2 linked regions of the Oryzias latipes genome follow. Each later gene encodes a partner of the first gene's protein in a complex. Links are inferred from orthologs where the notes say so. Each region holds a gene or a part of one and is shown on either strand. Other genes may lie near its edges.

The links.
Region 2: the proteins of stx17 (region 1) and vesicle-associated membrane protein 8-like are in contact, whole or in part, in a crystal structure (PDB 7BV6), measured with the Homo sapiens proteins. The link is inferred for Oryzias latipes from reciprocal best matches to the Homo sapiens genes STX17 and VAMP8. Residues at the interface, in NP_060389.2 of Homo sapiens: Ser171, Trp172, Thr174, Leu175, Asp178, Leu179, Glu181, Leu182, Leu185, Val186, Phe189, Leu192, Val193, Gln196, Glu198, Lys199, Ile200, Ser202, Ile203, His206, Val207, Ser209, Ala210, Asn213, Val214, Glu216, Gly217, Thr218, Asn220, Leu221; in NP_003752.2 of Homo sapiens: Gly9, Val13, Leu16, Gln17, Val20, Glu21, Val23, Lys24, Met27, Thr28, Asn30, Val31, Ile34, Leu35, Arg37, Gly38, Leu41, Glu42, Leu44, Arg45, Thr48, Glu49, Leu51, Glu52, Ser55, Glu56, Phe58, Lys59, Ser62, Gln63.

Annotation. Positions count from the first base shown.
Region 1 is NC_019874.2:17,627,332-17,632,197, forward strand, and holds part of stx17 (syntaxin-17), read left to right. Parts: intron 1-2,378; coding exon 2,379-2,687; intron 2,688-3,583; coding exon 3,584-3,634; intron 3,635-4,866. UniProt on the Homo sapiens protein: SNAREs, soluble N-ethylmaleimide-sensitive factor-attachment protein receptors, are essential proteins for fusion of cellular membranes.
Region 2 is NC_019867.2:25,806,953-25,812,494, forward strand, and holds the start of vesicle-associated membrane protein 8-like, read right to left. Parts: upstream 3,374-5,542; 5' UTR 3,196-3,373; coding exon 3,181-3,195; intron 1-3,180. Other genes in the region: ncaph (condensin complex subunit 2), read right to left, coding at 4,812-4,871. UniProt on the Homo sapiens protein: SNAREs, soluble N-ethylmaleimide-sensitive factor-attachment protein receptors, are essential proteins for fusion of cellular membranes.

The DNA.
Region 1 (4,866 bases):
TAAGAATTAAATGCTAAAAGGTTTTAATTTAATCTCACATTTCACTCATTTTTAGAGTTACCCTACCATTTTTTCACATTTCCGTTTAGTTCAGGCACTTTTTTATTTTAAATTGAGGAGGAGTTTCCAACCATATAAATCTGTTGGGATGCAACCTTTTTGTGTAGAATTTAACTCAGTTATGCTTCGCAATTTCCAAGCTCATAAATGTATTTAATGTTCCATAAAATCGATCTCACTGTAGAAAACCTTTAGTTTGATATGGATATCTGTGCTCACAAATGCCCATATTCAAACATCAATTTGAATTGAATTGGACCACATTAACATGATTGCACTGGATCATTGAATGGTATTATTTTTAAGTTCATAAATCACTACACATAATGATGAACATGATGACAGACACACGCACACACATGCACACACACACACATTGCCTGTCAATGTGCTTGGGAAGTCAGAACATCCCAGAATTCTCAGTTCAAGTTCAAGATCATGCAGCAAATCTAAGCAGCTGTCATTTTTCTTTGTACTTTTAAAGCTTATGCAGACCTGATGCAAAGGAAGTGATACAACACTGAAAAGTACTTACAACAAAATTATAATAAAAGGATTTTACAAATATTTTTCAAACCAAAAAATGTATATATTTTTTAAATCTGGGCAGGAAAAAGCCTTTTTAAGCCTCAAAGATGTGTGTTTGTGTTTAAGTACTTGCATGCTTGTACACATGGTTGGTGTGAAACACCTCAGGGGATGTTGTTGCCTGGGAGCCACCGTGTTTCTGAACGTGAAATAACTCTAAACAGGCACACACCTATCCTCTCACCATCACCCCACAAACCTCAGGGGCGCACAGAGAGTGCTTTCTCATGTCTTCATGGTGTTAATCCAGAGTAGGGGTTTGTTGCCTCTACTTTAGTTGTGGCCGAACGTGTGTGTGTGCGTGTGTGTGAGAGAGTTTATGTTTTTTTATTCACAAACTGACGGATGGAATCATAAATAACTTTTTTTCTCTGTTCCCTGATTACATTTTTTTGATATTTTAATGCATAGGTTGTATTTATTTCACTGTCCCTCTAGATGGATTCCAATTTCTCACCCAACGCAATAATTGATATTTTTCCCCCTCTTGTGTAACGGCACGTAAAGCCCAGGAGAAGAATTTCAAAAAGACCAGGTTGTCTCACCTTCAACACTTCAGCAACAGCTTGCATTCTGAGCCTGGGGATAGGTTTCTGTTTCTTTATTTGTACAATTCTGCAGATGCTTCAGGCGTGTTGGATCCAAATGTAGTCATCAACTTTACAGGTGACAAATATATAACGTAAACCTGAAAAAGGTGTACTAGAACCTATGTGTTAGACCAGAGGGGTTCAATCCAGGTTCCATCCATCTTCATCTGGCTCTTGAAGACAGGGAGTGAACACTGCTATAATGAACTGATACAATGAAAATCCTGTAGTTTCTTCTAAAGCGGCAATAAATAAAAAAAGAAAAAGTTTTAAACAATCCCCAGCTTTACCTTTTATGCGTAGAAAAAAGCAAAAACACGTCACAGGTAAAAAAACGCAAAGTGTTTTACAAATAAAAGCAGGAAAAAAGGGGATATATGCTTTAGATATGTATATATTTAAAAAAATCGTTTATAAAATATAGTGAAATCCATCCATCCATCTTTACCCGCTACATCACTTTTGGGGGTCATGGAGTTGCTGGAGCCTAAATAGTAAAACACTTATTTTTATTTAATTTTTGTTTATTCCTAATGATTTCTTGATTGTGGCCTTACTCCATTTTGTCTTCCCATATGTTGTTATTTTTTTAATAGCTTTTGCATGTAAGGATATGTTTATATGTTTATTTATGTTTTGTAATTAGTAGAATACGTTATTGGCAGCGGGCCGCCCCCTTGAGTCCTGGTCATGCGGCCTGTAGGGCCGGTGGCTGGGATGTAATCCTCCTGTCACCCTCAGGGCATTTCTTGTGTTCCCCAGCCTCATATCTAAACCCGATTAAGCTCTCATCAACCCACACGTGTGCACAAATTCCACATTACTCACACTTAAATAATATTCAGCTTGTTACTGCAAGCCATTGCTGTAAGGTAAGTTGTTTGTGAATTGTGCAGCCATTTTTCTAAAAGCTAGATTCATTTTTGTTTTGATTTTATGTTGCGTGAGGTTAGTTCTCGCTGGACTATTGGCCTGATCTCTTAGTTGTACCTATTTTTTCTGGTGGCTACCCCTAAACAAATGTTGGTTTTCTCTTTGTCTCTCCTTTAATCAAGCACAATGATTCTTTTGAAATGCCTTATTGCTTATTTTCTCGACCCCACTGAAACGTTCACACAGAACCTCTGCTTCTCCGCTCAGCAACTGAGAGCTAACATCAGAGAGATGGAGCAGCTGTGTGGCCGGGTCCGTGCGGAGGATGCCGCGGCTCTGGACGTGCTCGTCAGGCCGGTCAGGGACAGAGCTTCAGCTGCCGCGAGAGACTTTCTGCTTTTGCACTCTGACTCTTCACCAACGCTCACTACGCGGCAGCCTGGATGTGCATCCAGCAACTGCCACAGCGTTAATGACGAGGGCGACAAAGCAGAGTCGGGAAGGCAAAGTCAGCTCCACCTTCCAGAAATCCCTGCAGATCAGAATGCAGCGGAATCCTGGGATAACCTTGAAGGGGTATGCATGGCTGGATTCTGAACTTTTTGCTTCATGTGCAGTCTTGCTAGTTGGGTAGTGGCACTCATTACTTAAAACCCAACTCACTTTAAAGAAGGTTAGATGTCAGGATGTAACATTGCTCATGTAAAAGCCCTTCTATTTCAACTCCCTGCTTCTCCTTAGGGGGGAATAAAAAGGAATCGCCGTGTGAAGTAGGAAAGATTAGCTTTAACTGAGAGGTTTTATTATGTGAGATCACCCAGAGCAACAGGATTTTTTTCTCTTAAAACAAACAAAAACATTATAAAGTATTAGATTCTGTGTTAGAAAAGTTACTCTGGAAAACCTCATCTTAGAAAGCTAAAAGATCCTTGTTTCAAAAAAATTTGTTTTATTTTCTGTCTTGCAATAAAAATAATTTTAGTTTGAGAAAAGCATGCCTTTGTGACTAGAAATGTCTTCTTAAAATAAGAATTCCTGACACATTGGCAGGTTTGTTTTGCTTATTTAAAGAAAATCTACCACTAGGGTAAGAATTTTAGACTGTTAGACTAGATCAGGATTTTAGACTAGAGTTTTCAGATGCAGGATAACGTGAGTTCCTGGGTTTTATTTGCTCATTTTACATAACTTCTCCTTCTTGTTTTTTTTTTAAATCCAAGCATGGCATCAATAAAAACATCTTTAATGAATTTAGGCACAGTTTGAATTTCATGAACTGTTTAGAGACTGACCATTTCAAACTGAAACAAGTTCAATTCTTTTCTTCCTTTGCTACTTAATCTTCTCTGTGACCTGTATGTGTTTTAACATGGATAAACAGAACAGTCATGGGTCAAAGCCCTCTCTTTCTGTCTTGTAAGAAGATATTATTATTAATTATGAATTAATTGCCCTTTTGCCCCTCCCCTCAGGACTTGAAGGAGCTGAGCAGCTTGGTGACCGAATTCTCTCTGCTCGTCCATGTAAGTACAGTCAGTCACTGAGAATTCCTTTTTGCCTCTGTCCCATTCTAACAGTGCGTGCTCTTCTGTATGCACATGTCTGCCCGGTGAACAAACACAGAGGCTGCTCGGCAACACTGTCTCCATGAAGTAGTGTGCGTTTGTGGTGGAGTTGCTTAAGGTTCCTTTGAGACGAGGTGGGACGGATCCGCTTAGGAGAACTGCTGGGGCCCGAGGGGCCCTCGACTAGGACGAGGGGAGAGAGGGAGGAGGAAGTGAGAGGGAGGAGGGACCGGATTTGGAAGAAGACAGCAGGTTGTCACAGGAGGGGGAGGCCAGGGAACCGAGGGATGCAACCGGCAGGTGGAGAACAGACGGTTCAGATTATGACTCTGTCCTCAGGGATGAAAGGAGGAAAGCAGGGAGTGAGGGAGAGTAGCAGTGAAGGAGAGAGTGAAGATGTTTGTTTGTGCAGAGGAGGCTGCAGAAAGAGCATAGACATGTTATAGCGTCTCAAGGGGGAAAGACGCCGTTAGGGACCAATACAACCACAGTGGAAACACTGAGTGAGTGGTTGTGTTTTTGTTTGTTTCTGTTTATGCGTCATGTTTGTTCCCTCTCTTTGTATTTTTTACTTTGGAGTCTTCCGACTAAAATAAAGCACTCTTGAATATACGGTTCTTACTCAAAAAGTGAGAGTTTTTGCTCCTTTTTTGCTCTGAATAAAAGGAGATGAAATTAAGGGAAGAGGTATTTTCCAAATAAATCTAAGAATGCTGTTCTCTTTCTAAGCTCTTTTAAAAGCAGAGATGCCATGTGTTTCCTAGAATAACCACTGCCAGACTGCAAAAACAGCCCCCCTTTGAAAGAAGTCAAAAAATCTTCAAATTTGAAGAATTGGGGAAAAAAAATTCCAATTTGGAAAATTTTAGGGGAAAAAACTGCCAGTGGGGTAAGAAGAATGGTCTTACCAAGTATTCTTATTTTCAGAAAAAATACTAGTCACAAAGGCATGTTTTCCTAAACTACAGTTGATTTTGCTATTTTAGAACGTTCTTGATAAGATTATTTTTAAAAGACATTTTTGCTTGAAACTACGTTTTTTAAGATTTCGTTTTTGAAGTGCAGTGTAAAAATGTTCCTCTTCTTTTAATTGTATTTATTTATTGTTTCTTTTCTATAGAGAAGAAGTACAACTTGAAAGCTAAGACAAGGGCACAGCTGAGTATAGAGATGAGGATGCTCATCTTTTT
Region 2 (5,542 bases), on another chromosome or scaffold:
AATCTTTTTGGAAAGTTTTTTTCAAAGCAACATAATCTTAATTTAAGAAAATATGTCTTAGTGACCAGAATTTCTTTACTAAAATACTTTTTAATAAAAGTTCTTGGTAAGATAATTTTTCTTACCCCGTTGACAGATATTTTGTTCATCTAAAGATTTTTCTTTATGTTAAGAATTTTTGACCTATTTCTAGGGCGCCTGTTTTTTGCAGCGTGAGGATTGCACATGTATGCAAAAATCACAAGGAACACAATGAAACAAATACAGACATGTAGCAGAAAAATTGTAACTGAACCTTAATTTAGTCAGAATTTCGGGGAAAACTGTTTAAGAATTGAGTGTCGATGGTCGTGTCTGATTACACGTCACAAAACAGCGTCCAAACATTTGTTGATTTAAAAATAAATCCAAAGAAATTATGTTCAATCTTAACATTAACTCAAATGATATTAGGGTCTATTATGGTCACTTTTGGGTTGATTTTTGAACCCTATGATAATTATAATGAAATCCTGGGTATATTTTATGATGTGATAATGACACGCTGATTGCTAAATCTTCAGACAGAGAATGATACTGATAATATTGATATATTCTGTGGATTTTGTATTTTTGTTGTCATAGTTGAATCAGTAGCAGCCTTAAATAAGCTTCAGGTTCTGCCCATCTCCTTTTCCAACATGTTTGATGTTCTGTCAAATAGAGAACATTTTGACCGAATACAGTTATAGTCAGAAGCTTTTACAATAGGTTTGAAATAAAACTAAACTACACATGACATTGCAACACCAAAGACTAAAGAAAAGAATTGTGAACATGGAAATGCAGGACGTTTCCAGACATGAAGCAGAGGCTCTGTCTGCATGAGCGGCATGGAGGCAGTCAGGCTGTGGAGCGGCTGCAGCACCTTCACAGAGCAACTCCAACCTTAATAGTAATGAGCATTTTTTCTGGTTTATTTTAAAGTCAAAATAAATACAGTTAAAAAGAATACTTCAACTATAACACAATAGTCACACTTAGCTTCATCTTCTCAACAAAAATAAGAAAGATTTTGATATCTTGTAACAATCCAGCAATCTATGCACCTCGTGCAAAAGGCCATTTTGTTTTTTTTATCTATCAACAATACATCAATGCTTACATATTGGTGGTGTTGGACAGCACGCTCAAAGCAAAGACAGAAAAGTCGATGTTTTACGCTGATTGGCTGCCCTTTATTTATTATTAGAAAGTCAAAAAAAGTCAAAATGTAAAGCATGTAAATGGTCAGCAGGCAAGAAAGTCTCACTAAACTAAAGTGTCGCATAAAAACCAGAAATGCTACTTTCTTTTTCAGTTGTACGTATATCCTTTTTATCATCTAGTTTAGTGAAAGCTCAGTTAGGAATGATGAATTGGCTAAAAGACGTATTTGAAATGCTTTGCTTTCGGCCACCTGTTTGTTTTCGTGCTTCTGTCTTAAGAAGTATCCATGCAGTACACATTTGTTTTCATTTTTTGCTTCTTGCCGATGTTTTTGTAGAGGTGCTACAAGAACAAAATCAAAAACTAAGCCCAGTAAAAAACAATAATTCAATATAAAACAACTATAGTGCAAAGGATGGCTGTTATTTAGCTATTTGCACCACCAAAAACAGAATATAGCTGGATATACATTTCCAAACTATCAAGAAACTGCAAAAATCACAGTAAGAATTGTTTAAATCAGCTGCATTTTTACTCAAATGTTCCAAGTTTTCTTGCTTTAGACAAATGCTTTTGTTAACATGTCTAGAACAAGTTGGGACAGTGAATACAGAATATTACTTCGCACAATTCTAGGTGTGATTTTGCCAGCAGAAAGAATAAAAAGTGTGCCCTCTGTCAACACAGAGCAGGGACTTCCACGTCCCACGAGCCAGTCGGCCTGAAAACAAAGCCGTCTCTAGGATACAGCAGGTTTACCTGCATCATTCGCTCTCTGCTTCCTGATTCAAATCCCTCCTTTCCCTCTAATCCTTCCTGTTAGCTCCGACTCACATTCTCACTTTCTACATTTGCTTTTGAACACATCTTCGGTCTTTTAAAGAGAGTTTCCATCTTACTCCTTTGATTTTAGTCATGTGTGAGGTAATCATGTTTAGTTTTACCTGCCTCTCAGGTGAACCCATTTCCCTTTTTTCTTCTCAATTCCCCACTACCAAGACCTCAGCGAGCCTCACTGAATGGCTGAGAGCTATCAAATAACATTATTTAGAGAAAGCAAACAGCTGAGGACACACGTCCACGCCGTGTCGGGAATTTAAAGTAGCTTTGTTCTCCAAGGGAAAACCTGACAACTGACACAAAGATAAGATCATGTTATGCGGTTACTGCATACACGAAGAGTGTCGTTATACGCAAATGTGTAGTAATAAACTAAAACAAAACATGCAAATGGGCTTTTCGTGATTTTATATCATGGCAGAATATAATCCTAAATATTTAAACTTTATTTAAATGGGAAAGGATAACAAACCGAGAGTGTAATTTAAGATTTATACCCCCATGCTGACATATATGAGGATTTTTCTGGCATGACAAATGTGATAAAGACAATGACGAACGCGCATGCGCACACTGGGCTCTGTTAAATCATATTAGTGAACGTGGCTGAAACTAAATGTTTCTTCGTGAATATTGAAATATTGAGACACTTAAACTTGATTGAAGAAAAAAAATTACAACAACGAATTAATACATATACACACAAGAACAGGGAAAGCTCGGAGCCTCGTTTCACGTTCAAACCACTCGGGATAATCTAATGCTTCAGCGAGTATTGGCGTTAACTTAATTAAAACAGACTGACGTTAGCTAACTTAACTGACGTTCACGAAGCTAACAAAACAAACTTTTACAAGTCATAGAAACCTCGCAGCTCTGAAAAGTTCCCAAAGTAACTTGAGAAACCTTAGCTGCTCGTCTTTAGTGAAAACTTTACTTAATCTCTCAAAACAGTAAAAGGTAATAGCTTTTTCCGGGCAACAAAAAAAAAACGTTATCAAAAATAAATACAAAACCAAAAGTAAGAGTTTATTGTTATCAACCCAGGTTAAATAATCCATTTTTTGAAGCTAGCTTCACCTGTTGTTGCATGACTCCAAACAACAACTTACTTTCTTACTTGGGTCTCAAAACAGGTCTCTCAGTACCTACCGGATCATGGTCCATGTCGCTGGAAATGATGTCCCCTGATCGATAATCAATGAAAACACGTTTCCCGAAGCGGACCTATAAGCTAAAACCTTTTAAAAATACTTTGTTAAAACTTTAGTTTGTTGCTCTATCGTGACGGGGACGCGCTCGACACTTCAACTTCCTGGTCCTATTTTTTGTTCCGGTCATAGAATTCCTCCGCTTCAAGACGTCGGTGCGCCGCAACACAACCGCTGCTTCCGCTCTGCGACTTTGAATTTGCGACGTAGAACCTACAATTAAGAAAGAAAAAGTGCAACAGTGACATTTCTATTGCTATTTTTTTTAGAATGACGATTCCAAATATTTTGCTAGTTTATTAGAGTAAAAAAAGGACCGATAAAAATCTGATAAAAATCAAAAAATAGAGGTATCTCACTATTTCCCCTCCACCTCATTTCAATAATTATTAAAATATCAAGACCAATAGCAATAATAATAATAAAAACACATCCACATGTGTTAAGTATTTACTGCAGATCGTATCTGGCTTGTGCCATTTGACTTTTCAGCTTCTGATAATATTTCATTATAAAGACAGGACATGCTTTTATTTTGAAGGCATGACTCTATTGTTCCCTTAATGTTGGGTTTTGTGTGGCTCCAGCCTTCCTACTCAATTCCCATCTGAGGGTGTTTCCATCACATGTTGGATCTGAGATAGGAGTCATGAATGTTAACTCTTAACTCACCCCTTTCAGATCTTTTTTTTTTTTTTTGCTCTGGTATTTATTTTTGTTATTCAAGTGTTTTATGTCGCACATTAGCACCGCAGCAAATTCCAATTCTGTGAAAATGCCCTGCTCACTGGCAATAAATACTCCTTGAATCCTTTGAAGTAATCTTTTGTGTTTTTAAACAGAAAGTCTGAAGAGAGGTATGATGGGAAAACCACTTTTAAACAGTATATTTAACAAAACAAACAAAACTAATTACTTATGTGTTATATATTAATTGCATTACTATAAACATTTTGAGACACATTACACAATTTAGTGATAATCGGACAAAAGCACATTTCTACCATTATATTAGGATTAAATTAGGAAACCTAAAGTAAAAACACTGTTTATATCAAAGTTCCTGTGTGCAAGATTAAAAACTTCTACGCCAAGGACTGGAATGTGATTAGTCCTCTGCTCTTTCTTGTTCTGTATCTCCTTAATGAAAGGACGTCATGTCGTCTCACCCAGATGGAAGCACAGACCCAGACAAACCGGCTTAACCTCTACGGGAAGGCGACAGCAAAGTTGCAAACTCACACTATAAACAGGTTTAATGTGCCAGGATTTCACACGTTCTGCCCAAATTTAAGTCACAAACTCAACCACATTTATGGGAAAAAAAAACATTTTATTTCTTTTGACAATATATATCTTTTGAGCAGTGGTTGAAAAGTTCTTTTATCTACACAACAGATAATCATGAAATAGTACAGAGTTAAAAAAAAGGTCGTCTTGTCATTATGAGGGAAAAAAGGGCAGATTTAAAACTTAAGCACAAAGTGAATAAAACCTGACATTTTAAATAGAAAAAGCATAAATTCAAAGAAAGAAGAGGACAGAATTTAAAAAAATCTCCTGGTTTTCTCCTTAGCGGCCTTGTCTGATGATAATGTCTGACATGTCATCAACTTTGACCAGCTCCAAATTCTGTAAAACAGACAATTCAAAACTGTTAAAAGGTGTTAAAGCTTCAGACGTTTGTCTACAGAAAATAACTTGGGTTATGTTGTTATAACCTTTTATAAAAGTAGAATTCCTAAAGCTGAAAGTTGCTCTTGATAATAAATTAATGTCAAATATAATGTTAAATTAAAGTCATTTTAAAGACAAACAGGATTCATTTAAAAGGCTCTTAAGTTGAAACATTTTAAAGTCGAGTAGGAGTAATGACACGTCTGTCACTATCTTTATAAGCAAAGTGATCCCACAAACTGATAACACTGAGTGAGTGACCGAAGAGTGCACATGTTTATCTTGAGCTGTTTCAAATGTTCTTTTATTTTCATGGTTTTATGTTTGTGTGTGTATCAATGCCTCTGGGTCACGTCTCTCTCTAAAAATGTTTTATCTCAAGGGACTTCCTGGTAAAATAAAGGTTAAATAAAAAGAAACCAAACTGATAAGATATTTTCAGAACCTCAAATACAGTACAACTCATTTACTTCCATTTGATTTTAAATGAATTAACTCATGAACCAATATTATTTTGGTTTTTTTGACAACCAAAAATAGAGTCGGGTCGTCAGTCCTGCTGTTCATTGGTAAATGATAAACACTTTTTTTCCCATTAATCTAGGAACTGATTACATGATGACATC